Macaca fascicularis: one gene and its partners. The protein of the gene in region 1 purifies or fractionates together with the protein of each later gene. This does not show direct contact. Links are inferred from orthologs where the notes say so. Each region holds a gene or a part of one and is shown on either strand. Other genes may lie near its edges.

What was found. Proteins that work in one complex are often made in the same cells at the same time.
Region 2: the proteins of LCK (region 1) and SH2D2A purify together in Homo sapiens (co-immunoprecipitation; 3 studies listed by IntAct, with this or other methods). This does not show direct contact. The link is inferred for Macaca fascicularis from reciprocal best matches to the Homo sapiens genes LCK and SH2D2A.
Region 3: the proteins of LCK (region 1) and KHDRBS1 purify together in Homo sapiens (affinity purification with western blotting; 5 studies listed by BioGRID and IntAct, with this or other methods). This does not show direct contact. The link is inferred for Macaca fascicularis from reciprocal best matches to the Homo sapiens genes LCK and KHDRBS1.
Region 4: the proteins of LCK (region 1) and UNC119 purify together in Homo sapiens (affinity purification with western blotting; 3 studies listed by BioGRID and IntAct, with this or other methods). This does not show direct contact. The link is inferred for Macaca fascicularis from reciprocal best matches to the Homo sapiens genes LCK and UNC119.

The regions. Positions count from the first base shown.
Region 1 is NC_088375.1:202,748,887-202,755,364, reverse strand, and holds part of LCK (tyrosine-protein kinase Lck), read left to right. Parts: intron 1-1,274; exon of another isoform or gene 1,275-1,332; coding exon of another isoform or gene 1,333-1,361; exon of another isoform or gene 1,362-1,381; 5' UTR 1,382-1,402; coding exon 1,403-1,567; intron 1,568-1,784; coding exon 1,785-2,131; intron 2,132-2,361; coding exon 2,362-2,460; intron 2,461-2,602; coding exon 2,603-2,706; intron 2,707-3,059; coding exon 3,060-3,209; intron 3,210-3,482; coding exon 3,483-3,635; intron 3,636-3,752; coding exon 3,753-3,932; intron 3,933-6,478. UniProt on the Homo sapiens protein: Non-receptor tyrosine-protein kinase that plays an essential role in the selection and maturation of developing T-cells in the thymus and in the function of mature T-cells. Plays a key role in T-cell antigen receptor (TCR)-linked signal transduction pathways.
Region 2 is NC_088375.1:104,257,160-104,264,264, forward strand, and holds the start of SH2D2A (SH2 domain-containing protein 2A), read left to right. Parts: upstream 1-3,400; 5' UTR 3,401-3,507; coding exon 3,508-3,541; intron 3,542-4,122; coding exon 4,123-4,211; intron 4,212-4,992; coding exon 4,993-5,177; intron 5,178-5,920; coding exon 5,921-6,010; intron 6,011-6,198; coding exon 6,199-6,367; intron 6,368-7,105. UniProt on the Homo sapiens protein: Could be a T-cell-specific adapter protein involved in the control of T-cell activation. May play a role in the CD4-p56-LCK-dependent signal transduction pathway. Could also play an important role in normal and pathological angiogenesis.
Region 3 is NC_088375.1:203,015,274-203,022,355, reverse strand, and holds the start of KHDRBS1 (KH domain-containing, RNA-binding, signal transduction-associated protein 1), read left to right. Parts: upstream 1-3,377; 5' UTR 3,378-3,511; coding exon 3,512-3,893; intron 3,894-7,082. UniProt on the Homo sapiens protein: Recruited and tyrosine phosphorylated by several receptor systems, for example the T-cell, leptin and insulin receptors. Once phosphorylated, functions as an adapter protein in signal transduction cascades by binding to SH2 and SH3 domain-containing proteins.
Region 4 is NC_088390.1:34,015,401-34,022,666, forward strand, and holds the start of UNC119 (protein unc-119 homolog A), read right to left. Parts: upstream 3,706-7,266; 5' UTR 3,632-3,705; coding exon 3,412-3,631; intron 1-3,411. Other genes in the region: PIGS (GPI transamidase component PIG-S), read right to left, coding at 5,590-5,865, 6,243-6,453. UniProt on the Homo sapiens protein: Involved in synaptic functions in photoreceptor cells, the signal transduction in immune cells as a Src family kinase activator, endosome recycling, the uptake of bacteria and endocytosis, protein trafficking in sensory neurons and as lipid-binding chaperone with specificity for a diverse subset of myristoylated proteins.

The sequences.
Region 1 (6,478 bases):
TGAGTGTGGGTGTGTGGGGGTATGTATGGAGGAGATGCCTGTGCATGTGTGTGAGTGTATGTGGGGGTGAGTGTGTGGGTGTGTGCATGGGTGTGGGTATGTGGAGGTGCCTGTGTGTGTGTATGAATGTGTGTGTGGGGGTCATGTGTGTGGGTGTGGGTGCCTGTGTGTGTGTGTGTATGTGGGTGTGTTTGTGGGTGTGACTGTGTGGGTGTGTGGATGAGTGTGTGTTTGTGGGTGTGGGTGCCTGTGTGTGTGGGGAATATGTGTAGAGTGTGTGTGTGAATGTGTGTGTGTGAGGGTGGGTGCCTGTGTGTGTGGGGGGGCACTTTTGGGGGGTGAGAGTATGTGTTTATTGAGTGTGAGTGTGGGTGCCTGTGTGTGGGAGGGTGAGTCTGTGTGTGAGTGTGGGGGGGTACCTGTGAGGGGTGAGTGTGTGTGTATGTGAAAGTGTGTGTGGATGCCTCTGTGGAGGTGGGATGGGGGTGCCTCTGTGTGTGTGTGTGTAGGGTGTGTGTATATATAGGGTGTGTGTGAGTGTGTGTGTGTGAGAGAGTGTGTGTGTAGCAGAATGGACTGCGAAGGTGGATTTGATCTTGAAGTTCTGGAATGCACGGTACATCAAACTTTATTTGAGGACAGCGCTTTCCAACCGCTCTGAGGAGCAGCCCTAGACAAGGAGGAGCTGCAGGGACTCCGGGGGCTTCAAAGTGAGGGCCCCATTCTGCTTCAGACAAAACAGGCCCACACACTTATCGCTTTATCTATGGAGTTCTGCTTGATTTCATCAGACAAAAAATTTCCAGTGCTAACACAGGCAAATAAGCGACAAAAAAAAGTTATGGCCAACAGACTGACTGGAGGGTTTTCTGCTGGGGAGAAGCACGCCTGTGTTTGAAGGAACCCTGTGAGGTGACTGTGGGGCTATGTGAGAGGAACAGCGGGGTCCTGATGGTGGACTTAGGGAGCAGAAGCCTCTTTCTCAGCCTCCTCAGCTAGACAGGGGAATTATAATAGTAGGTGGGGCGTGCACACCTCTCCAGTAGGGGAGGGTCTGATAAGTCAGGTCTCCCCCAGGCTTGGGAAAGTGTGTGTCATCTCTAGGAGGTGGTCCTCCCAACACAGGGTGCCGGCAGAGGGAGAGGGAGGGGGCAGAGGCAGGAAGTGGGTAACTAGACTAACAAAGGTGCCTGTGGCGGTTTGCCCATCCCAGGTGGGAGGGTGGGGCTAGAGCTCAGGGGCCGTGTGTGAATTTACTTGCAGCCTGAGGGCTCAGAGGGAGCAACGGTTTGGAGCTGGGACCCCCTCTTTTAGCTTTTCTGTGGCTGGTGAATGGAGATCCCAAGATCTCACAATCTCAGGTACTTTTGGAACTTTCCAGGGCAAGGCCCCATGATGTCTGATGTTGGGGAGCAGATCTTGGGGGAGCCCCTTCAGCCCCCTCTCCATTCCCTCAGGGACCATGGGCTGTGGCTGCAGCTCACACCCGGAAGATGACTGGATGGAAAACATCGATGTGTGTGAGAACTGCCATTATCCCATAGTCCCACTGGATGGCAAGGGCACGGTAAGAGGCGAGACAGGGGCCTTGGTGAGGGAGTTGGGTAGAGCATGCAACCCAGGAGAAAGAAATGACTCTCCTAAGATCACACAGCAAGTAGCTGGTAGACTCAGGGATACACCCAACCAGGCTGGAGAGACTGAGAGCAGGGCAGGGGGGAAGGGGGCCAGAGTCTAACCCAGTCTTCTGCTTTCTGACCCCACCCTCATCCCCTACTCCACAGCTGCTCATCAGAAATGGCTCTGAGGTGCGGGACCCACTGGTCACCTACGAAGGCTCCAATCCGCCGGCCTCCCCACTGCAAGGTGACCCCAGGCAGCAGGGCCTGAAAGACAAGGCCTGCCGATCCCTGGCTGTTGGCTTCCACCTCACCCCCACCTACTCTCTCCCCGGTCCTGCCTTCCTTGTCCCCCGCCCTGTAACTCCAGGCTTTCTGCCCATCCCAGCCCGGTTCTCCCTGATGCCCCTTGTTTTTACAGACAACCTGGTTATCGCCCTGCACAGCTATGAGCCCTCTCACGACGGAGACCTGGGCTTTGAGAAGGGGGAGCAGCTCCGCATCCTGGAGCAGTGAGTCCCTCTCCACCTTGCTCTGGAGGAGTCCGTGAGGGAGCGCGATCTCCGGGACCGCAGCCCTCCTGAGGCCACCGGTTGGGGTGGCCGCCCTTGGGACAAAATTCAAGGCTCAGGACTGCTGAGCCAGGGTTCGGCGAGGCTGGCTTAAGGGGTGGAGGGGTCTTTGAGGGAGGGTCTCAGGTCGACGGCTGAGCTAGCCACACTGATCCGCCTCCGTGGCGCAGGAGCGGCGAGTGGTGGAAGGCGCAGTCCCTGACCACAGGCCAGGAAGGCTTCATCCCCTTCAATTTTGTGGCCAAGGCGAACAGCCTGGAGCCCGAACCGTAAGTGGGGACCCGTCGTGGGGGTGAGCGGGAGCAGATCTAGGGATCCTGGAGCAGGGAGTGGGCCTGGGGTGGCGGTGAAGGCTTGAGGGCCACGGAGGAATATCCGACGACAGCCTTCGTTCGCTTCCGCCGTGCACAGCTGGTTCTTCAAGAACCTGAGCCGCAAGGACGCGGAGCGGCAGCTCCTGGCGCCCGGGAACACTCACGGCTCCTTCCTCATCCGGGAGAGCGAGAGCACCGCGGGTGAGCGGGCAGTGGTCTCGACCGGGCGCGGGGGTGCCGCAGGGTGTGCCCGAGGTGGGGGCGCGGGATGAGCCCGAGGGGGGCGCGGGGTGAGTCCGAGGGGAAGCACAGGGTGAGCCCGAGGTGGGGACGCGGAGTGAGCCCGATGGGGACGCGGGGTGAGTCCGAGGGGGAGCGCAGGGTGAGGTCGAGGTGGGGACGCGGAGTGAGCCCGATGGGGACACGGGGTGAGTCCGAGGGGGAGCGCAGGGTGAGCCCGAGGTGGGGACGCGGGGTGAGCCCGAGGGGGGCGCGGTGGCGGGCCAGACTCACTGCGTTCTTTAGTCCCTTTGTCCATCCATTCATTCATTCAGGATCGTTTTCACTGTCGGTCCGGGACTTCGACCAGAACCAGGGAGAGGTGGTGAAACATTACAAAATCCGTAATCTGGACAACGGTGGCTTCTACATCTCCCCCCGAATCACTTTTCCCGGCCTGCATGAACTGGTCCGCCATTACACCAGTGAGCCCGGCAGGACCCCTCCCCCGTGCCCTATCAGCCTATCTCCCCTCAGTCCCCCTCGGGTGTCCCCCATCCATCTTTCAATGCGCTCCTCCATTCCCCGCAGTGGGTGAGGTGTGGAACTTGACCCTACGGACCCAAGTGTTTGGGTGACAGCCCCACACCCCCCTGCTAGTCCACTTCACCTAGATAGGAGCTTGGAGAAGTGGGGGAAGTGGTGTCAATACGAGGCCTGCCATATTGACAGTCTTCACCCCTCCCTTGTCCTCGCAGATGCTTCAGATGGGCTGTGCACACGGCTGAGCCGCCCCTGCCAGACCCAGAAGCCCCAGAAGCCATGGTGGGAGGACGAGTGGGAGGTTCCCAGGGAGACGCTGAAGCTGGTGGAGCGGCTGGGGGCTGGACAGTTCGGGGAGGTGTGGATGGGTGAGTGTGGCCTCCAGGACTGCCCGGGAAGAGGGGAACGGGAGGGGCTGCTGAGGTGGTGAGAGTCCCAGGACAGCTGCCTGGCGACTCTCCCACTCCTTCCCTTCCCCGATCCAGGGTACTACAACGGGCACACAAAGGTGGCAGTGAAGAGCTTGAAGCAGGGTAGCATGTCCCCAGACGCCTTCCTGGCCGAGGCCAACCTCATGAAGCAGCTGCAACACCAGCGGCTGGTTCGGCTCTACGCTGTGGTCACCCAGGAGCCCATCTACATCATCACTGAATACATGGAGAATGGTGGGTGCCGCCCGAGTCGGCTGCCGGGGGACACTGCTCTCCCCGCTGTCCCTGCCGGAGGGTGAAAGTACACCTTTTTTTCTGGCCCAAAGCTCAAGCAAGGAGGGTTTATTGAGCTTTCCTGGCCCCTAAAGACTCACCTCCAGCTGGGCGCAGTGGCTCAGGCCTGTAATCCCAGCACTTTGGGAGGCTGAGGCCAGCAGATCACGAGGTCAGGAGTTCGAGACCAGCCTGACCAACATGGTGAAACCCCGTCTCTACTAAAAATACAAAAATTAGCCAGGTGTGGTGGCGCATGCCTGTAATCCCAGCTGCTCAGAAGGCTGAGGCAGGAGAATCCCTTTAATCTGGGAGGATGAGGTTGCAATTGCAGTGAACCAAGATCATGCTACTGAACTCCAGCCTGGGTGACAGAGCTCTGTCTCAAAAAAAAAAAAAAAAAAAAAAAAAAAAGGCCGGGTGCAGTGGCTCACAGCTGTAATCCCAGCACTTTGGGAGGCTGAGACGGGCGGATCACCAGGTCAGGAGATCGAGACCATCCTGGCTAACACGGTGAAATCCCGTCTCTACTAAAAAATACAAAAAATTAACCAGGCGTGGTGGTGGGCACCTGTAGTCCCAGCTACTCAGGAGGCTGAGGCAGGAGAATGGCGTGAACCCGGGAGGCGGAGCTTGCAGTGAGCCGAGATCGCGCCACTGCACTCCAGCCTGGGCGACTGAGCAAGACTCCATCTCAAGAAAAAAAAAAAAAGAAAAAAAAAAAAAGACTCACCTCCAGGCATGTGAAAAAGGTATATCCTCTGATCCTGTCTGGGGGCGAGCCTAAGGTAGCAAGAATGTTCTGGAAGAGCATTCACCCCAACCTGCCCTGACCTGCCATTCTGTTTACCTTCTTCAAAGCCCTACCTTGATCTCAGGATGCTTGATCTCAGAAAGCGAATGGGTCCCTACCCCTGTTTCTCTCCCTTCTGCCCCTGAGCTTTGGGAGGGCAGATCTGCCCCGGAAGCCCTCTTTTTCAGTTCTGAGTGAGCCCCCCCACCCCGCACCCTTCTTGGTCTGATACTGGACAGAGTGAGAGCCCCAGGAAGAGGAATACGAGTTTCTAGCCTCAGCTTTGTTCACACCGATTTGCTGTGTGACAGGCCAAGTGCCTGCACTGTCTCTGGTGCTCAGTTTCCTCAAGAATAACAGCAGAAATCTAAATGGGCTCACCAGAATTAATACAGAGTATTCATCAAGGCCTCTAGCGTCTGACTGCCTGGGTCAGAAGTCTGGCTTCATGATTTTATGGCTTTGTGATAATTACATCACCTCTTTCTGTCATGGTTTCCTACTATAATAATGCATTAGTAACCTCCTCATAGGGTCTTGTGAGGATGAAATAATTAATGCATATATAGCAGTTAGAACTATGCCTACTTTAGGCCGGGTCCAGTGGCTCACGCCTGTAATCCCAACACTTTGGGAGGCCAAGGTGGGCGGATCATAAGGTCAGGAGATCGAGACCATCCTGGCTAACACAGTAAAACCCCATCTCTACTAAAAATAAAAAAAATTAGCCTGCGCGGTGGCGGGCACTTGTAGTCCCAGCTGCTCAGGAGGCTGAGGCAGGAGAATGACGTGAACCCAGGAGGCAGAGTTTACAGTGAGCCAAGATCGCACCACTGCACTCCTGCCTGGGCGATAGAGTGACACTTGGTCTCAAAAAAAAAAAAAAAAAAAAGGACTATGCCTACTTCCAGGTGTAGTGGCTCAAGCCTATAACCTCAGCACTTTGGGAGGCCAAGGTGGGTGGATCACTTGAGCCCAGAAGTTCAAGACCAGTCCGTGCAACATAGCGAGACCTCATTCCTACAAAAAATTTGTAAAAATTAGCCGAGCGTGGTGGTGTATGCCTGTAGTCCCAGCTACTTGGGAGGCTGAAGTGGGAGGACCACTTGAGCCCAGGAGGTTGAGGCTGCACTGAGCTGTGATTGCACCACTGCACTCCAACCTGGGTAACAGAGTGAGACCTTGTCTCAAAAAAACAAAACACAAAAAAACCACAAAACTATGGCTACTATATAGTAACTGATCAATAGGTTTGTCGCTGTTATCTGGCTCTGATTCTTTGGGAGTGTAAGATCTATCCTTCTTTCAGGAAGAGAAACAAGCTGTTCATTGGCTAATGGGAAATCGCAAATAGATTATGTCATGTGTATCTTTTTTTTTTTTTTGTCTCACTCTGTCCTCCAGGCTGGAGTGCAGCGGCACGATCTCAGCTCACTTCAACCTCCTCCTCCTGGGTTCTCATGCCTCAGACTCCCAAGTAACTGGGACCACAAGCATGTGCCACCATGCCTGGCTAATTTTTGTATTTTTAGTAGAGACAGGTTTTCACCTTGTTGGCCAGGCTGCTGTCGATCTCCTGACCTCAGGTGATCCTCCCGCCTTGGCCTCCCAAAGGGCTGGGATTACAGGTGTGAGCCACCATGCCCAGTCTATCATGTGTATCGACTTTGATTGGTGGTTGCTTGTAGCGCTGGAGAAGGATTCTGAGGTTCAA
Region 2 (7,105 bases), about 98 Mb from region 1:
AAATAGATGGGGAACTAATTAAACTAAAAAGCTTCTGAATAGCAAAAAAAGTAATCAGCAGAGTAAACAGACAACCCACAGAGTGGGAGAAAACATTCTCAAACTGCATCCAACAAAGACTAGTGCCCAGAATCGCAAGGAACTCAAATCAGCAAGAAAAAAAACAAATAGGCCAGGCGCGGTGGCTCATACGTGTAATCCCAGAACTTTGGGAGGTTGAGGTGGGTAGATCACCTGAGGTCAGGAGTTCGAGAACAGCCTGACCAACATGGAGAAACCCCATCTCTACTAAAAATACAAAATTAGCCAGGCGTGGTGGCGTATGCCTGTAATCCCAGCTACTCAGGAGGCTGAGGCAGGAGAATCGCTTGAACCTGGGAAGCGGAGGCTGCAGTGAGCCAAGATCATGCCATTGCACTCCAGCATGGGCAACAAGAGTGAAACTCCATCTAAATAAAAATAAAAATAAAAAATAATAATCCCATCAAAAAGTGAGCAAAGGACATGAATAGACATTTCTCAAAAGAAAGTATACAAACAGCCAACAAACATGAAAAAATGCTCAACATCACTAATCATCAAGGAAATGCAAATTAAAACCACAATGAGACACCACCTTATTTCTGCAAGAATGGCCATAATTAAAATGTCAAAAAAACAATAGATGTGGCGAGGTGCGGTGGCTTATGCCTGTGATCCCAGCGCTTTGGGAGGCTGAGGCAGGGGTATCACCTGAGATCAGAAGTTCGACCAACCCCATTTTTTCTACTAAAAATACAAAAATTAGCCAGGCATGGTGGCATTCACCTGTAGTCCCAGCTACTCAGGAGGCTGAGGCAGGAGAATCACTTGAACCTGGGAGGCAGAGGTTGCAGTGAGCTGAGATCGCACCACTGCACTTCAGCCTGGGTGACAGAGTGAGACTTCATCTTAGACACAGACACACAGACACACACACACAAATAGATGTTGGCATGGATGTGGTGAAAAGGGAACAGTTTTACATTGCTGGTGGGAATGCAAATTAGTACAACCACTATGAAAAACAGTATGGATATTCCTTAAAAAACAAAAGTAGAAATACCATTATTTCCAGCAATCCCACTACTGGGTGTCTATTCAAAGGAAAAGAAGTCCTTCTATAAAAAAGACACATGCACACACATGTTTATAGCAGCACAATTTGCAATTGCAAAGATATGAAACCAACCTAAGTGCCCATCAACCAAAGAGTGGATAAAGAAAATGTGGTGTATCTGCATCATGGAGTACTACTCAGCCATAAAAAGGAACGAAACAATGTCTTTTGCAGCAACTTGGTTGGAGCTGGAGGCCATTATTCTAAGTGGAGTAACTCAGGAATGGAAAACCAAATATCGTATGTTCTCACTTATAAGTGGGAGCTAAGCTATGAGGACACGAAGGCATGAGAGTGATATAAGGGAATTTGGGGACTTGGGGGGAAGGTTGGGTGAAGAGTAAAAGACTACATATTGGGGACAGTGTACACTGCTTGGGTGACAGGTGCATTAAAATCTCAGAAATCACCACCAGATAACTTATCCGTGTAACCAAAACCCAACTGAACCCCAAAAACTATTAAAAATTTAGAACACGTTTTTAAAAGTAAGAAAACAGTACATAATTTTTTGAAAAACAGTAAGTCTTGGCAAGTACATCTCCCCCACCTGACATCTTGAGACAAAAGTTTTTTTCCTCTCTGAGTTCTCAGTACCAAGAACAGTGCACAGCACATAGTCATGAACCTTTGGCCTAAATCACAGTGAAATTAGTGAAAGGAAGTCTAGCTTCTAGTCCCAGCATTCATACCAACTTCTTAGCCACTGAAAGGCCCTGGCCAAGACACTCCTCTGAGCTTCTGGTAAATGGGGATAATGTTCCTGTCCCCTTCTTAGTTTGTGAAGATCAATTCAGAGAGAAATGGGGTTGGTCCTTTGGTATGGTGGGAAGTCTAAGCACATTGAAAGTTTAAGACATCAGCACCAGCCAATGCAGTGGCTCACGCCTGTGGAGGTCAAGGTGGGTGGATCACTTGAGGTCAGGAGTTCAAGACCAGCCTGGCCAACATGGTGAAACACTGTCTCTACTAAAAATACAAAAATCAGCCTGGTGATTGGTGGTACAACCTTGGTGGTGCAAGCCTGTAATCCTAGCCACTCGGGAGGCTGAGGCACAAGAATCCCTTGAACCTGGGAGGTGGAAGTTGCAGTGAGCTGAGATTGTGTCACTGTAGTCCTGCTAGACTCCGTCTAAAAAAAAAAAAAAAAAAAAAAGACATCAACAGTGAGGTTATTAACAGCAACTGCTGATAGTGTTGATACTAATGATGACCAGCTTAGCTGGAGGAATTCTCCTTCCTTCCTCCAGGATTGCCTGGTTTTTCCCTAACTCAGTTCCATTATCTGCTGAATGATGGAATCCAGTCCCCCTCCTCTCTAACCCCTTGTCTCATAAATTTCTTTTTTTATTATTAATTTTTAAAAATAGAGATGGGGTCTCACTGTGTTGCCCAGGGCTGATCATGAACTCCTGGGCTTAAGCGATCCTCTCGCCTGAGCCCCCCAAAGTACTGGGATTACAGGCGTGAGATACCATGCCCAGACTCATAGATTTCTTTTTTTTTTTTTTTTTTTTTGAGACGGAGTCTCGCTGTGTCCCCCGGGCTGGAGTACAGTGGCGCGATCTCGGCTCACTGCAAGCTCCGCCTCCCGGGTTCACGCCATTCTCCTGCCTCAGCCTCCTGAGTAGCTGGGACTACAGGCGCCCACTACCACGCCCGGCTAATTTTTTTGTATTTTTTTAGTAGAGACGGGGTTTCACCGTGGTCTCGATCTCCTGACCTTGTGATCCGCCCGCCTCGGCCTCCCAAAGTGCTAGGATTACAGGCGTGAGCCACCGCGCCCGGCGACTCATAGATTTCATATGTCCTCAAAAAGTCCTTCCAGAAGTCTAACCCACATCCTTCCTGTTGCAGCCCTGCCCCCTCCCTTCCTCATGTCTCCTCAAAGCATGACCCATAAGCACCTTGTGTGGCTTATCCTTGAGGCTGACATCCCCATTCCCACTGCTCAGAATAGGCCAAGAGGCAGAGTGGGAGATTTTTCAGAGAGAAAGAAATAGAAGTCAAGAGAGATGAGAGAGAGAGAAAGGGAAGTTCTAGTTTGGGGTGAGGGAGCAGAGAAAGAATCTGGAGGGATGAAGGTCAGGTAGCAGTAAGGACTTCCTAACACCTAAACACAGAGTGACACAGATACCCCCCACCGCTATACCACCACTATCTACAGCTGCGTGGCTTCCGGGGGTGGGACAATCGTCTTAAGGCTTTCCATGACGTGGGTCCTCTGCCAGAACTAAGGCTGTGGGTAAGGCGACATTTCCTGCCCCTGGGGCCAGGGTGAAAGGAGAGATGAAGAGTTGCTGAGTGTGCACACCTTTCCAGAGCACATACACACACCCTGCTCTGGGATCCCTTGTCAGGCTGCCCCCATGGAGTTCCCCCTGGCCCAGATATGTCCCCAAGGTAAGTGTGAAGTTGAAGGATATGGGTGGGAGGGGGCACCAAGACCCCCATCCCCCTGCCCTCCCTCCTGGGCTTGAGCTCCCACTTCAGGGATGAGGGGCCCCACTCTAAGCCAGAGCTGGCAAGGCTGAGAGGCAGGGCGACCACAACCCCGCCTGGGGCTCCGTGCCCACTCATCCCTGAGGATAAAGGTGACAGGGTTTTTTGAGCGCTTCTCAGAGAGGAGAGAGGAGGGAGCAGGAGGATGAAGGGAGGAGGAGGCAGAAGATCCTGGACCAGAAGAAGGGCCTGCCCTGAAGTGATCTGCCTCCCTGGCCATCCGAAGGCCAGCCTGGCTCCCATCTTCTCCTTCTAGGCACCTGGTGTCCCTGACAACCTCCTCTGGCAGCATTAGCCCCCCTCACGCCCCCTTGGCTACTTATCCTCATGCCTGAGAAACTCCCCTGCTGCCCTTCTGCGTTTTTCCTGTCATTAAGACTGTCCCAGCCCTACAGATCCCTGAACCTGGGAGGAGGGGTGGGAGGCAGAGATAGATACAGTCCCACTCTGAGAAACCCCGACAGCCCTCTTTGTGCTCACAGGGAGTCACGAAGCCCCCATCCCAACCTTCAGCACCTTCCAGATCACGGACATGACCCACAGGAGCTGCCGGAACCTGGGCTACACTGCGGTGGGTAGAAACCTGGGGCGGCAGCGGGGTGCAGCTCCCTCATCTCTCCCACCCTCCCATGGGGAAGGATTTGCAGATGGACAAAGGCCACCCCGAGAGAAGGCAGGAATGATCCGGGTCTGCCAACGGGCTGGGGCACAGAGGGAGAGAACGAAAATGGGGAGTACCTCCTTCATGCACTGAGTTGCCCACTCACTCCCGTGCTGCTCCTAGGCCCTCCGGAAGCTCAGGCAGAGTCCGCAGGTGACCAGGATGCAGCGCATTGAGTCCCAGAAGCAGGCATCTGCCCTCTGTGTCAGTGACCTTCATTCACCCGGTGCATTCCACGTCTCAGCCCTTCCCTCCCGCCCACTCAAGAATTTTCTCTGTGAACTAGCTCAGTCCCTCATATTGTGGAGTAAGCCCTCCCTCATTCTGGCCTTTAGCGTGACTTCCGGCATCATGTTCCTTCATCCTCCAGGCCAGGGAATGACTCTATCCATCTGGAAGGCTGTGCTGCCTTTCCCGTCCCTCCTGGAGCACAGTGTGACAGCTCACTGCTGCTGGATTAAAAGCCCTCAGGACCCAGAGGGCAGAGGAAGGAGAGTCTCTGGAAGCCAGAACAGCTGGAGCTGAAGAAGGGATTTAAGTTAGACTTTAGGAAGGACTTTCTGGGCAATTGTACCCTAAAATAGACAGGAGAGGCTGGGTATGAGGAAAAGAAGGTGGCAGGTGGATCAAAGTCAGGAGAAGGCCCACCCATCATGCTGCTTCCCCCTCCTTGAACTCTTCCCTGATCCAGGCATCTCCCCAGGCCCTGGAGGCTGCCTCCATCCCAGGGAATGCTGAGAGGGCAGAGGAGGTGCCTGGAGAAGGAAGCCTGTCCCTGCAGGCGGAGACCCGGGCTTGGTTCCAGAAGACCCAGGCCCACTGGCTCCTGCAGCATGGGGCAGCCCCTGCCTGGTTCCATGGCTTCATCACCCGGAGGTGAGTCATGGAGGAGGAAATTGGCCCAGACAGGGGCAGGGCAAGTCCTGGGTCTGGGTCCTGCCACCTGCCAGGAATAGATGAAGGCTCCCACTTCTACCAGTCTGGAGCAGATGGAGGTGCCCACTCCAGGCTCCCACTCCCAGAGTTTTCTAGGCCTTTCACTGAGGCATCTCTCCAGGGGAGATCATTGGAGAGGCTCCAGTCCAGGCCTCTCTGTGCCTCAGCTTCCTCTCTCTAGGCCCCATTATCCTCCTGTCCCTAAGGCCTCAAATGCTGGTATTTTCCACCTCTCTCTCCCTCCAGGCTTACTCCATCTTTATCTCCCAGGCCTCTTTTCTTCCACCCTTGCAGATCCTCCCTCCTCCATTTCTCAGCCTCATTTCTCCCTATCTCTTTGTTCACCTCCTCAGTTCAGTTTTGACTTCGGAAATCTGGAAGTCCAACTACTTTCCCATCTCTGTTGCTGCAGTAGCAGCCCCTACAGGCTGCCCTTCCAGGATGAGGCCAGGGGAGGAAGCGGGGGGTCTCCTGAATGGGACCCCTGGCCCCTGTCCACCCCTAGTCCCTGCAGCGGGAGAACAGCTCCCACATGCTCTCTCTCCCCATCTCAACCCTAGCCTTTCTCTAGCCGCTCCAGCATGCTTGCTTGGGGGTAAGGGTTCCTCGTGAGAGCTGGGGAGACAGAGGCGAGGCTGGAAGTGTCAGAGCAGGTTTCGGCCCCCTCTCTCCGTCACCCACAGGGAGGCAGAGAGGCTGCTGGAGCCCAAGCCTCAGGGATGCTACTTGGTGCGGTTCAGCGAGAGCGCGGTGACCTTCGTGCTGACTTACAGGTGAGGGGCGAGGCCCCGCGCCGGGCGACCGAAGGCGGGGCTCGGGAGGGGCGGGGCTTGGGTCTGATCCCAGGAGGAGCCGAGGTTTTAGCTCAGTTCCCGGGCTGCTGAAAGTGGGGGTCGCGCCTCGCGCTGGTGGCCCTGGCCGAGGAGTGGGAGATAGTCTGATCCCTAACGGCGCCCTCCAGGAGCCGGACTTGCTGCCGCCACTTCCTGCTGGCCCAGCTCGGGGACGGGCGCCACGTGGTGCTGGGCGAGGACAGCGCCCACGAACGGCTGCAGGACCTGCTGCGGCACTACACGGCGCACCCGCTCAGCCCCTACGGGGAGACGCTCACCGAGCCGCTCGCCCGCCAGGTACGCGCCCCGGGCCCTGACCAGAGAGCCCAGGGTCTCAGGCCAGCGCCCCCTCCCCGCCCCCCGACTCAGAGCCCAGGCGCAAGACGCGGCACCAGGCACTTTCTCATCCCAAAACACCACCCGGGCATGCCTCCCTTATCCAGGCATCTTCATCTTCGTGAGAGGGTGGCAGGCCCTTCGAGAAATATGAGTGCTGGGGGGTCCCTCCTTAAGAGACAAGCCCAGCCACACGGAGACAGAGGGGCAAGGAGAGACCAGGGGCACACAGAGTCATTTGGGGTTTTTTGTTTTGTTTTGTTTTGTTTTAGACAGAGTGTCGATCTGTCTCGCAGGCTAGAGTGCAGTGGCGCGATCTTTTCTCCCTGCAAACTCCACCTCCCGGGTTCAAGTGATTCTCCCGCCTCAGCCTCCTGAGTCAGCTTCCCCTCTCCAGGCCCCATTATCCTTCTGTCCCTAAGGCTTCGAATGCTGGTGTTTTCCATCTGGTATTTTCAGTTTTGACTTCTGAAATCTGGAAGTCCAACTACTTTCCCATCCCTGTTGCTGCAGTAGCAGCCCCTGCAGACTGCCCTTCCAGGATGAGGCCAGGGGAGGATGCAGGGGTCTCCTGAATGGGACCCCTGAGTAGCTGGGATTACAGGCATGAGCCACTGCGCCCAGCCTAGAAGTCATTTGTTTTTAATATAAGAGATATTTACGGAGTACTTAGGGCCTACCAACTGCTGGCAGGCCCTG
Region 3 (7,082 bases), about 270 kb from region 1:
ATTGTATATAGTTATGGCTACAACATGTTTTGCTATGCATATGCAGTAACTGTTTATTCTAGTCTAGAAAGGCCATAGATACCACTACTCAGCTCCTTCTCAGACATACCTTTATCAAAGTTTTATTAGACTCAGCCCAAGGGATCTCTATTTGGGCATCTCATTACAGGGCAAGGATGCTTCAGCCATTTGTACCACCACCACTCAAGCAGGATCTTCAAGGGTGGCAGTGGAAATGAGCTGCAAGGGAACTATAAATTCTCCTTGCCCCTTCCCCACTCTTCACGCAGTTGCTCTCTCAATCCACCTATTCCTTCAAGTCTGACACTGGATTACTCCCATTCCCTGAACACATTTCCCACATTCTCATCTCTGCTCATTTATTCCACTTCTCTTCGCCTGGAACTTATTCTCCCTTGGCCAAAATCTATCTTCTGCATTGAACTCCAACAGCACTTAATTTTTTCGCTTCTTTTTTTCTTTTTGACACTGAGTCACTCTGTTGCCCAGGCTGGAGTGCAATGTGGCACGATCTCGGCTCACTGCAACCTTCACCTCCCAGGTTCAAGCGATTCTCCTGCCTCACCCTCCCAAGTAGCTGGGATTACAGGCGCATGCCACTGCGTTCGGCTTTTTTGTGTTTTTAGTAGAGATGGGGTTTCACTGTATTGACTAAGCTGGTCTTGAACTCCTGACCTCAGGTGATCCACACACTTCGGCCTCCCAAAGTGCTGGGATTACAGGAGTGGGCCACTGCACTGGCCCTTTTTTTTTTTTTTTTTTTTTTTGAGACAAGGTCTCACTCTGTCATCCAGGCTGAGTGCAGTGGGGGCAGTAGTGGCTCACTGCAGCCTCAATCTCCCAGGCTCAAGCAGCAATCTTCCCACCTCAGTCTCTCAAGTAGCTGGGACAACGGGTGCCTGCCACCACACCCAGCTAATTTATTTATTATTTGTAAAGATGAGGTCTCACTATGTTGCCCAGCCTGGTCTCGAACTCCTGGATGCAAGAGATCCTCCTGCCTTGGGATTACAGGCATGAGCCACTGCACCTGGCCTGCACTTAATTTTCAACTATCTTTTTGACATTCATCACATTTCATTCATTACAAGCACTCAAAAATATTTTTTTTCCTACTTGACTGAGGACAAGAGTCACTTCTTGGAACCTCAAAGTAAATGTATATATACTTTTTTTTTTTTTTTTTTTGTGAGGAGGAGTCTCCCTCTGTCACCCAGGCTGGAGTGCAGTAGTGTGATCTCGGCTCACTGCAGCCTCCGCCTCCCGGGTTCAAGCGATTCTCCTGCCTCAGCCTCCCGAGTAGCTGGGATTACAGGCGCCCGCCACCACCCCCGGCTAGTTTCTGCATTTTTAGTAGAGGCAGGGTTTTGCCATGTTGGTCACGCTGGTCTCGAACTCCTCACTTCAGGTGATCCGCCCACCTCAGCCTCCCAAAGTGCTTGGATTACAGACATGAGCCACCGCAGCCGGCCTATATTTTATATTACATATATATAATTTATGTGGATATGTGTGTTTTGTTTTCATTTCTGTGGGTGACTTGGTAAATCCCCTCCCTTAACCCAAGAAGGCCTTTAGGTTCTCTAGTTAAAGGGTTCTAAGTTTCACATCCAAAAATCAACAGTTTCCAGGCACTCAGAAGACAATTTCCGAAGAAACTTTTTTTCCTTGTTTTTTTTGTTTGTTTTTTGGTTTTTTGAACGGAGTCTCGCTCTGTTGCCCAGGTTGGAGTGCAGTGGCGCGATCTCGGCTCACTGCTGCCTCCGCCTCCCTGGTTCGAGCAATTCTCCTGCCTCAGCCTCCCAAGTAACTGGGATTACAGGCACGCACCATCACACCCCGTTAATTTTTATATTTTTAGTAGAGACGGGGTTTCACCATGTTGGCCAGGCTGGTCTCCACCTGGCCTCAGGTGATTCGCCCACCTCGGCCTCCCAAAGTGCTGAGATCACAGGCGTGAGCCACCGAACCCGGTGGAAACTTTTTTATTGTTAGAGATGAGGTCTCATTACATTGTCCAGACTGCTCTCGAACTCCTAGCCTCAAGTAATCCTCCCATCTAGGCCTCCCAAAGTGCTGGGATTACAGGCATAAGCCACCGCACGAGGCCCCAAAGACTTTTGAAAAGTGTGGGCTCATTAGGAGAACTGATCCAGAAGAAAAAGAGATGGGAGTGAGTGCTTTAAATGGAAGAAGAAAAAAATCTGTGGAGGGAACGAAAAGTTAGAGACAGCACTAAGCTTTTGATGGTTTATGGGACAAGTAGGGACCTAACGCTCCACCTGCATATAGCACTCCAGGATGTGGAGAACGCCGTGGGAGACTGGCCATCTGGCCTTTGAGAGTAGTGGCAAGGGTCTCTTTGAGCAAGTCTGGAGTGGTAGAAGGAGCCACCCTAATGATGCAAGCAACGTGGATTAAGGATCTGGTCTCTACTCCACTTTTTGGCAGAAGAATCACTTAATTGGCAATGACAACGGCAAAACAAAACACAATTCAGAGAAAGCAGTAAAATATATAAAAAGAGCTAAAATGCTGCTTAAGATTTCCCTGACCAACAACGGCAACCGTTTTAGAACCGACTGGAAGAGATCTAATACTGGAAATACATACACTGGAAACGACTTCTTGTGTTCCCTATGTCTGGGGCCCTTTTCTTTGCTAGACTTCAGATCTCTGATCCGAGCCATCCCTCTTAGCTCATGTCCTCCAGTAGCCTTCAGAGTTTCCACCGAGCCGTCCTTTCTCAATTTCTCCCTCCAGGTTTCCCTTCCCCAACTTCCCCTCCTGCATCGGACTCTCCCTTAGCCTTCCTTTCTCCCTCCTGTCTTCCTCCCCCGGCGGTCTCAATTCTCTCTCCCTCCCCTTTCCGTGTCCCTCACGGCAGTCTCCTTTTATTTCCTTACTTCGGTGACCGCCCCCCACCCCACTTCCATCCCCACCCCACTCCCCACCCCACTCCCCACAGCCTCCCTCCGCTGCTCAGCCGTTGGAGAGGGCGTGGCCCCGCGAGTAACAGGTCTCCCGCCCCACACTCCGCGGGCCCGCGCGCAGACAAAGACATTCCACAGCTCCCGCCCCCTCCACGCAGTAGGCCAGAAGAGGGAGGAGACACGTGTCCCGCTAGCGCCGAGTCACGTGGAAAAGGAAACGAACGGAGCCTGCGGCCTCCCGCGCATGCGCGTCAAGCTCTGGCCTGGCGGGCGCGGAGGGAAAGCCAGAGTCAGGAGGCGACTTCTTCGGACGCCGCGGCGGTGCGCAGGCGCCGTGGCCGGACTGGGGACTTTGTTCTCCGCGGAGAAACCCAAGGGCGGTGCCGGTGACTGGCTGCGCACGCGCGCCGCCTCATTTCCGGTGCTCTCTCTCGCTGGGTCGCTCGGGTCGGCTTCGGTCGCTACTGCTCCCGCTCTCCCACCCCCGCCAACCGCCGCTTGGGCCTCCGTCGCTGCCGCGTCGCTCTCTCGCTCCTTGGTTTCGCACATCCTCCCCGATGCAGCGCCGGGACGACCCCGCCGCGCGCATGAGCCGGTCCTCGGGCCGCAGCGGCTCCATGGACCCCTCCGGTGCCCACCCCTCGGTGCGTCAGACGCCGTCTCGGCAGCCGCCGCTGCCTCACCGGTCCCGGGGAGGCGGAGGGGGGTCCCGCGGGGGCGCCCGGGCCTCGCCCGCTACGCAGCCGCCACCGCTGCTGCCGCCCTCGGCCACGGGTCCCGACGCGACAGTGGGCGGGCCAGCGCCGACCCCGCTGCTGCCCCCCTCGGCCACAGCCTCCGTGAAGATGGAGCCGGAGAACAAGTACCTGCCAGAACTCATGGCCGAGAAGGACTCGCTCGACCCGTCCTTCACTCACGCCATGCAGCTGCTGACGGCAGGTAAGGGGGCCTCCTGGGTCCCTCGGCCATCCTGGGGCATGAGTGGCCCTGGCTTTGTTCCTCTCGCTTCCCGCCCCCTCGGGACCGAGGCAGTCGGGAGCTCCGGTGTCATCCTCATCTTTGGGAGCCTGGATTCCACATTCCCACCTCAACCCGGAGTGCGTGGGAGAATTTCTAGGCTGCAGTGGAGGCCCAAAGGCGACTTTGCGATCTCCTAGCGCTAACGTCTTGATGGATGGTGCTGAGCTCCCCGCCCCTTTCCCGACTCTTCCCTCCTCCCTCCTCTTGCGGCTGCCGGGCGCACAGATTCTTCCAGAAATTAACCTGTATTTCCCCCTTTCCCGAAGGGAAACCCTTTTTGATCGCGGGTGGCGATGAGCGCTTCGTCCGAGGTGTAGGAAGTGAAGACAGCCGGAGCGGGGAGGGACCGTGGGAGGAAGGGCCGAGGTGAGGTGGGGTGAGGCTGGAATACCCTGTCCAGCGCCTCGCTGTCGCTGGGGCCGAGCCGGACTTAGCGGTAACCGCAGCTTAAGTTGCTGGGAGGAAGGAGCGATTTATGGGATCGGAACTTGAGGTTTCCGAATCAGATTTCCGACTAAGGCTGATAAAGTAAGAATTGCTACTGAGCCTGAAGGTTGTCCTCTTTCATTTTACACTGTGTGTTCACTATCATGGAAGAAGGAGTGAAATAACCCTAGAGACAGTGAAATGGGACGATAGGGTCTCCCGCGTAGTTCACATAACGTTTCCCAACGAGATGGACAGAAGTTGAGAGAAGTGGCATGATGCTTGTACTGAAAGACTTAGTCTTTTTGTTGCTGTTTTTTTACATTTTTGATTCAGTAGTGAAATAAATTAGAAATGAGAGTCTTTGTTCTGTAGATTAGCGCTCTTTTCTTGATCAGCACTAGCCAATCACCTAATCGCTCTGATTTTTCCCTAAAGCTGTGTGACCTTCGCTTCAAGTTAAAACATTATTTTAATAAATATTTCTTATGATACCTAAATTTTAGTAAGCAAGTAAAAATTCACATCCTTCAACACTGAATGAGTAGTTGGACTCTTTGGGAAGGTTAATATAATGGGCAGTTCATTATGAAAATATTATCTCCCTCTCTTTGTTCTCTGTCTCCCAACACTGTAAGGTAAGGGATCTTTACCAGTGTGGTGTTCATCTTTTATATGCTTTCTTAAGATAACTGTCAAAAACTATTGATCCTTAAAAGTTACTTAGAATTTTCAGCCTTCCCTCACTGCTTAACTAAGAGAGGAGTGCTCTTTATTTTTAACCTGGGCTTTCTGGATGTATTTTTTTTTAAACCCAACTGAAATTGGAGAAGTGTGGTTGAGGTAATGTTGGTTTGGGATGTATGAATTCTTTTTAGCATGGGTAAGTGTTAGTATATGTTGAGCCTGGCTTTTAAGGTATTTCTGAATTATCTTGCGAGGGGATTGCAGTGAAGTCGCAACCCATTGTGAGGAAGTGAGACTTTGAGAAGATAGAATAGTAGTATTTAAGCTCTGGTAAGATCACATGGAAGGGGCGGGCGCGGTGGCTCATGCCTGTAATCCCAGCACTTTGGGAGGCCCAGACGGGCGGATCACGAGGCCAGGAGTTCGAAACCAGCCTGACCAACATGGTGAAACCCCCGTCTGTACTAAAAATACAAAATTAGCCTGGCGTGGTGGCGCATGCCTGTAATCCCAGCTACTTTGGAGGCTGAGGCAGGAGAATCGCTTGAACCTGGGAATCGAAGGTTGCAGGGAGCCCAGATTGCACCATTGCACTCCATTCTGGACAACAAGAGCTAAACTCCATCGCAAAAAAGGAGAGGAAAAAAGAACACATGGAAGAAAAATATAGCTAAGACTTCATGTTTGAGGTCTGAGCACTTTACATTAAATATTTAACCTATGAAATGAGAACTTTTATTATCCTCATTTTTACAGATGAGGAAACCAAGGCACCCAGAGATTAATAATTTGCCTAAGGTAACAAAATTAGTAAGCAGCATAACCAGGGTTTTAAGTCAGTCTACACACCTTCCCCGTTCCCTCACTGTAGTGCCTGCTGCAAATTATACTTTAAAAGTAAGCTATAATTGGACAAAATATTAAAATCTAGCTGGGGTGATAGGTGACCCAAAAAAAAAGTGTATTTGAAAGTATAAAAAAAAAAAAGACAAAACTTTGAGGGATGTAGATTTTGAATATAGACTTCTGTGTTAAGCAGATTGATATTCAGCAGCGAGGACAGTCGAATGTATTTGCAGACATAAAGATTCAGTCATCCATCTTTGTTTTCTGGAAGAGAAATAATTTACCTTATTGTGTTAATGTATTTATATACTAAGTAAAATGCTGTTATATATGTCAGTGTTCTTTTTCTTTTTTTTTTTTTTTTTTTGAGACGGAGTTTCGCTCTTGTTGCCCAGGCTGGAGTGCAGTGGCGCAATCTCGGCTCACCGCAACCTCTGCCTCCCAGGTTCAAGCGATTCTCCTACCTCAGCCTCCCTAGTAGCTGGGATTACAGGCATGTGCCACCACACCCGGCTAATTTTGTATTTTTAGCAGAGACGGGGTTTCTCCATGTTGGTCAGGCTGGTCTCAAACTCCCGACTTCAGATGATCCGCCCATCTGGGCCTCCCAAAGTGCTGGGATTACAGGCATGAGCCACTGCGCCCGGCCTCTTTTTCTACTTTCTACAACTAGTAAAATATAAGTTAGTGTAAGTGACTCAAGAATAAACATTTTGAATAGATTAGCAATCTGCAAAAGATCTTGGAGGGATAATCAAAAATCCATCCTTCAGAAGGATGGAAAAAGTGGAAAACATTTTACAAAGTCTGTTGAAACTTCAAAATAGTTAATTCCTTTATTTACAATATTCTCTAGAAATACATTAAGACCTTCCCAGTTCATTCCACAGGGCTAGCAAAACCTGCTATTAAAACTGGAAAATAAGGGCCGGGCCAGTGGCTCACGCCTGTAATCCCAGCACTTTGGGAGGCTGAGGTGGGCAAATCACGAGGTCAGGAGTTCAAGACCAGCCTGGTCAACTTGGTGAAACCCCTTCTCTACTAAAAATACAAAAAATTTCCCCGGGCGTGGTAGTGGGTGCCTGTAATCCTAGCTACTTCGGAGGCTGAGGCAGGAGAATCATTTGAACTCAGTAGGCAGAGGTTGCA
Region 4 (7,266 bases), on another chromosome or scaffold:
CGTGCCATCCTGGTGGCCTCTGGGGGCCAGGGAAGGGAAGGGCAGAGAAGGGTAGAGGACAAGGCCACCTCCCGGACGCTCTCCCTCCCACCCTGGAGTTGAGGGTCCTCATTCTGGCCTCTGCTCTGCCAAGGCTGGCTAGGTGACTTTGGGAGAATTGGGTCTCCAGCATGGTGGGAGCCTCTCCTCTCATATGGGAACAACTTCCTGCAGTCTGACCTGTCTCTTCTACTGCAAACTCAATCTATCAACTTCTCTGTTACCCTGCCTTTGAGAACCACACTGTAAAGGGGGCCACACAGCTCTGTCTTGGGAGAGTCACAGTCCTTCTCTGGAGGATACTCCTACCCTCGCCCCACAGCTGCCCCTGGCATGACATCTAGATGTATCAGGTGAGGCTGATGTTGAGGGGACTTTCCCTGATATGGGTGGTGCTGGGGCAGGTGAACAACCCCTTCCCTGTTCCTCCTCCCCTCCCAACCCCCTCCTCTCAGTAAGAAGCTTACACCAGCCCAGCTCCCTTAAGCAGCTTAACCAAAGCTCTGCTGACTCAAGCCCAGAGCCTGGGATATGGCAGGGGGTGGAGGCCAACTTTGCTCTTATCCTTTGTTGATCTCCAAATGGGAGGAAGTCTTAGCAAGCAGAGGGAACCCCCTTAGAGGTCATTTAGGCAGCCCTGGCTCTGAGCCACCACCATGGAGAAAGTAGTCCCGGACCCCTATAGAGAAGAACACAGGCTAGGCCAGGAAGCGAGTGTGGCAGGTGCAGCAGCGGGTGTGGAAGGGCTAAAGGGAGTCCTCGGGCCCACAAGGGGAACCAAGAACAGTGGGAGGCCCTGCCTGAGGAAGCTCAGGGACCTACAGGGCCCGATCTAACCCTCACAGCTCTTGCAGCAGCAACTTCAGGTGTTCAGGGAGACCCTGGCAACAAAGATAGCTGAGAGGTGCAGGGAGGGACTCTGATGCTGTCAGCCTACACAGCATCACATCCTCCCCTGGTGGCCCACAGAGGCCTGGAAATCACCCTCCAGGCCCCTGGGCCACCTATTCCTCTGGGGCAGGAAGAGGAAGTGAATATAAAGTCATTTTCTCTTCCCCAGGCCTGCTTCTTCCCCAAGCCTGACACAGTCCCCTCCAGGAAGCCCTCCTGGCAGCCGTCTGGTACCTGGGGCCCGGCATGGACTTTATACAGCTTGGGGAAGAGTCTACTACAGCCCACGTGTGGGGTGGGGAGAGATTGGAAGTGGGCAACCTCTATCTCACGCCATTCACCCTATTTTCACAGAAAGTAAGCACCAGTATAAAGACATAGAAAGAAGGTACAGAGCATAGGGAATAGAGTGGCAGAGTGGGGAGCAGGATCCCAGTGCCCAACTCCCAGATCCCTGTAAGGCCTTCTCTTCTCCCATTCTCCAACTTTTGGAGCCTCTCTCATTTGGGAACAGCTTTCTGCAGTCTGACCTCAGTCTCTTCTACTGCAAACTCAATCTATCAACCTCTCTGTCCTTAGAAGAAGTGAGGAACAGGGATGTCTATGGCTCAGAACACCATGGCCACTCCTTCCCTTCTAGAAAGGATGAGGCCTGGGACCCAGGGTCAGGTCAGAATAAGGAGCAGAGTGGCCAAGGGCTCAGAACACAACTGCTCTATTCCTCTCAGCCACAAATAGCTTCCTAAGCTGGATTCAGGGCCCAGTAATCTGGGAACAGCAAACCTCGGACCTGCGTGATTAGGGTCAGAAGAGACCAGCAAGAGGTGCCAGGGTGGAAATCCCTGGAACCCTGTTCTCAACTCCTGCACAGGAAGGGGTTCCCATGAAGCCCTTTCCTCTACTCACCCTCCACAGATTCCCCATCTCTAAGGGCTATGAATTGCCTCCAAATTAGGAGACAAATGGTGGTACATGAGCTGGAAGCTCCCTCTACTTGCAAAATCAACCCCCCAAGTTACTCAGGGCTCAATCTGACCTCTGGACTTCCTCTGAGACAGTTCTGCCCCAGAGCTAAGCTGAATCCTAAATGCTGCTGTTGCAAATTGTAGCCCAACTGGCTTCAACATCAGCCTGGTCCAGCCTCCCTCCCTCCATCGACGCCTGCTTGGGCAAGGGAGCTCAGTACTCTGGGGGCCCAGCCAAGAATGGCTGCTGCCTAACTCAGTAAGGATAGAGGAGTTGGCCCCCAGGGACCCAGGAGCACAGGCTCAAGGCTGCCTCCCCTCCACAGCTCTGTCTGGGAGCCCTGTGTTCAGCTGCTTTGGAAGCTCTAGGGCTCAGGTCCACTCCAATATATGCACCCCATACCCACAGAGAGGCCCCCCAACAATTATTCTCACAAAGGGGGCCAGGGCAGGTTGCTGGTGAATGTGGCCAAGGTGGAGAGCCACTGTCTCTTCATCCTTTGAGGCTCAGCCAAGGCCTCTGCTATGAGGTTTCCTAGCCCTCATTCCCTGCCTATGATGACCCCCTCCCCTGCCCTGAAAGCCAAGTTGTTTGACCCCAGGCAGCAGCCATGAGCAGCCCTGTAGGGCCCCAAATACTACTGATCAAAGAGCCCAATGTACACAGAATGCATAGATGCCAGGCACTGTACAGAATCAGAGGACTTATCTTCACAATAACCTTACGAGACAGATACCATTATCCCCATTTTACAGATGAAAAGACATGCTGAGAGGTCAGGTTACTTGCCCAAGTTCACACAGCCAATTATATGCAAAGTTGGAACTCCAGCCCAGGCAGTCCAGCTCAGAAACTCTTAACCACAGTGGAGACCAAGCCTCCCTTGATGACAGAGCCCCTAGAATAGGACAGGCGCTAGTCCAGGCTTGGGGGGACGTTAAGCCACTCCCCATGAGAAGGAACCACAGTCAACACTCTGAAGCTGCCTGCTCAGTTTCTTTCCTGGGGAAGAAAATGGCCCAAGTATTCCTGGAGGATCAGGGTGAGGGTATTAATGGTTGGGGAGACATGAAGAGTCTGAATGCCTCCGAAGTAACTCAGCCTCCACCTAGCCTCCAGGGTGGGGGCTGAGGACAAGCTGCACTCAGCCCCTCTCCTCATTAGTGCAGGGGCGGGCCTCAAAGCGCTCTGAAGACTCCACAGAGGCAGGGCTACAGTTGCAGCTGCTGCCGCACGCACCTCCACGCTGGGAAAAGGGGACGGACCCCCGGAAAAGGAAGGAATAAATCTTGAAAGGGAGAAGAAAAGCGCACAGAGAGAGAGATCAAGGGAAGGGGGTACACAGAGATCTCAGGCTTGGTGGCAGAAGGGAGAGTAGGGGACACAGGAGAGGGAGACTCGGTGGGGGAGGGGAGGCGGGAAAGGGGGCGGGGGCTGGGGCTCGGTGCGCCGGGAGGGCCCCTCGCACCCTCTGCCCTTCCCGCCAGCGGGAGGCGCTCCCTCGCGGGTGCTCACCACCCGTGATCCGCTGCAGCCCCAGCACGTCCTCCGGCCCGATCGGCTGCTTCCTCTGCAGCGGCCCCGGCCTGGGCCCTGGGCCTGCGTCCGGCTCCGACTCGGACCCAGATTCAGATTCCACTGGCGGCTCTGGTATGGGGGCCACGCTCGGGCCCGAGGGCCCGGGAGCGGGCTCCGCCCCCGTCCCGGCCCCACCGCCGCCCTTCTTCACCTTCATGGCCTCGCCGGGCCGCGGCTCGCCTGCTGCTGCCGCCGCTGCCTGCGCCGGCTGGAGCCGGAGGAAGGGGGAGCGTCCACAGCCCCGCCCCCGGCCGGGGCTCCAGGTACCGCCCCGCCCCGGCCCCGCCCCTGGGGTGGGCCCTGCGCTGATCCCGCCCGCCCCGCGGCCCACCCCTGCCGAAAGGCCACGGACGTGGGGGATGGGAGTCGGGGGCTCCTGCCCTGGGCTTCATTCTGTTTTTCTAACACTTTCTTGTACTGGTACTAGTGGGGTCCTGACTACCTCTCCGCTTACTCACTGTGTTCCAGCCTTTCTGCTCGTGAGTTCCAGGCTCAGGGTCTCTGCTTGGATGCTCTTCCCCAGATGGCCTTTTTTCTCCTAGTCACAGCTCAAATGTCATCTGCTCAAAGTTGCCTCCCCCACACCCAGTCTGAAGTCCTTCCCCCTCAGTCACCATCTGACCAGCCTGTTTTTGTCTTTCCAATGCATTATGTGAAATTATTTTTATTTGTCTGCTCTTCCTCATGAAAGCTCAGCTCTGTGAAAGCACTGATCCTGCCTACTTTGTTCTCAGTAGGACCCCAGCACCTGGCAGAAGGCTCCCTGCAGCTGGTGCTCAAGATATATATATAGGGCCGGGCGCGGTGGCTCAAGCCTGTAATCCCAGCACTTTGGGAGGCCGAGACGGGCGGATCACGAGGTCAGGAGATCGAGACCATCCTGGCTAACACGGTGAAACCCCGTCTCTACTAAAAATACAAAAAACTAGCCGGGCGAAGGTGGCGGGCGCCTGTAGTCCCAGCTACTCGGGAGGCTGAGGCAGGAGAATGGCGTAAACCTGGGAGGCAGAGTTTGCAGTGAGCTGAGATCCGGCCACTGCACTCCAGCGTGGACGACAGAGCGAGACTCCGTCTCAAAAAAAAAAAAAAAAAATATATATATATATATATATTTTTTTTTTTACCTGATGAATTAGTATCTCAGGTAAAAAGCAGATGCTAACAGCCTTGGGCAATCCAGCTAGGAAAGGCACATGGCCACGTGGAAGCAAAGTGGACCTGTGGGCACAGGAGGACAAACACCAGGAAACTGTTACTTACCAGTGAATGCAGAAAGAGTAGAGCTCAGACTTTGTATCATTCCAATTCATATTCAGCCAGTGTTTATTAAGAGCCTAATATACACTAGACACGTTACATGCTGATCACATTTAATCCTCACAACCACCTTGTAAGGGAGACATCATCAGTGCCATTTGAATGAATGAAAAACTGAGGCTCAGAGATATTCAACAGCTTATCCAAAGCTCTCCAGACAATAAGTGCAAAAACAAGGATTTGAATTCAGGACTCTTTGATTCCAAATCTGGAACCTTCCGGAACCTCTGACTCACACACACACACACCCCCCCAACACCACGTCCTGAGCTGCTGCCTCCTGGACTTCCACCAGACTGTACCTGACAGACAAAGCTAGCTAGGAGGGAGGGGAGTGAGGGAGAAGGTCCCAGAGGTGACCAATGCCTGACCCCTTCATGACGGCAGGGACTAGGGCTCTCCCACAGGGGTTAGAGAGAAGAGTGGAAGGGAGGGACTTTCCCATAATGCTCCCTCCTCTCAGTGCATGAGTGTGCTATGTTGAGAAATAGGGCAAAAGAACAAACAGTCCATGCCACAGAGGGAGACAGGGAGCAGCCTTATCAAACAAGATAAGGAGACCCGGATGATGTGCCTTTTGGGGCCCCTGGTGGTGGAGGAGGACTGAGCCAGGGGAACGGGAAAGGAAGAAAAGATGAACCCATCTTGGAGTGTTGTACTTTGGTTGCTGGAAAGCCAATAGTGGAGACTGGAGACAAATATTTAAGTCATTCCGGCAGGCCCCATGTACGTGCCTCTCAATCTAACACCGCCCACCTTGGCCAAAAAGGAAGGCTTCCTGTGGAGGAGCTGCCCTGCTCAGTCTGTCTTCTCAGGCTTTTTCCAGGACTTGTGGGTCTCCAGGAAGATCTTGACCAGGGACAGGAGGATGGGCACAGCCATAGGCAGGAAGAGTGGGATGTAGATGGCAAATTTCTGGTCATCAGGGAAATAAAGGAGGTGGAGGAGTGACGGGTCAAAAAAGGCACACTCAGAGGACGTCACAGCTTCCTGGCTGGCGACAAAGGCAGATGCCAGGTGCCCAGAGGCCAACTCTTCTGCTGACTTCTGGACTGCAGCTACAGCCCTGTATACCTAGGAAGCAGAAGGGACAAGAGGGTATACCAGTAAGTCCCAGGCATTGGTGGAAAGGGTGCTGGGCCTTACTGTGCTTTCCATCTATCGAGGAAGATGCCTGGAGTTCATCCAGGATCTATGGAAGTCTGTCTAAAGGGATATGGTTTATTTTCCTAGGGTCAGCTTGAAACCTCGCACTGTCATCTGCACTCCTGCTGGGGGGCTGGTACTGCTGTCTAGAGGAAGGCTGGGACACTAAAGATGAAGAGTGTGGTGAGACCAGAGAGCCTGTGAAGTCCACACCGTGACTTCACAGGCTCTCTGGTCTCACCACACTCTGGCCCTCTCTGACTACTCCAGTCCCAAGCTGCAGAATCCATCCCCTGCCCACTTACCTCAGATGCCACATCGTCCTTAATGACAATGTTGCTGATCTTGCCCAGAAGCTGTGCCAGGGAGGTGAGGGTGGTGGTGGCTGTGGCCAGATTCTCCACTGACCGAGCCCAGAGCAGCCGGTCTAGCTCCCAGGTCATTAGCCCTTCACTCTTAGGCCCTGAAAGCAGGCATTTTGGAGGCACCTGGGGCTGAGCAATCCCAAAGAGCAACCTGTAGGAACATCGGAGTAAGATCAAGGTGGCTGAGACCACAGGGTGGGAGATGATGGCTAAGATTTCTCAAATACCTGTCCTAAACCAGTGATTTTCAATCTTACCCAGAACCATAGGGGTTAAAGGGAAGTACCTCAGGGTCTTGGGGCATAAGTGGCAACACCAAGCAAATTGGCCCCAAACCCTGCTTCAACCGGTGTTTCTGCTTTTACCTGTTTCTACATTAGACTTCCAAGATCTTGTTTTTTAAAAAAAGGTTCCATGGCTAAAATACTTCTGATAACACTAACTTAGTTTAATCCTTTCACCTTCTCTACCCTCTCTTTGAACAAATGGGGCCAATGGGACTTAGCATTAAGGGATGATCCAGGACTGCCTTTGCCAAGGCACATGTGCTGTGCTTCTCTAAGCCTGCATCCGTGACAGACACCGCTAGTCAATCAGAAGAACACTCTTTCCTAATGAGCCCAGATACAGCCTTAGAATCCTCAACATAGAGCCTCAGACAGTCACTCTCAATCCATCAGGCAGCACAAGAATTAACAGTTATTTTCTCAAGCAGCCCTAATCACACTCCATGGACCTGACATTCATGAGTCTATTTTTCTTAAAACTGGTTTTGTTGGCCAGGCACAGTGGCTCACGCCTGTAATCCCAGTACTTTGGGAGGCCAAGGTGGGTGGATCATGAGGTCAGGAGTTCAAGACCAGCCTGGCCAAGATGGTGAAACCCCGTCTCTCTACGAAAAATACAAAAAATTAGTCGGGTGTGGTGGCAGGCGCCTGTAGTCCCACCTACTCGGGAGGTTGAG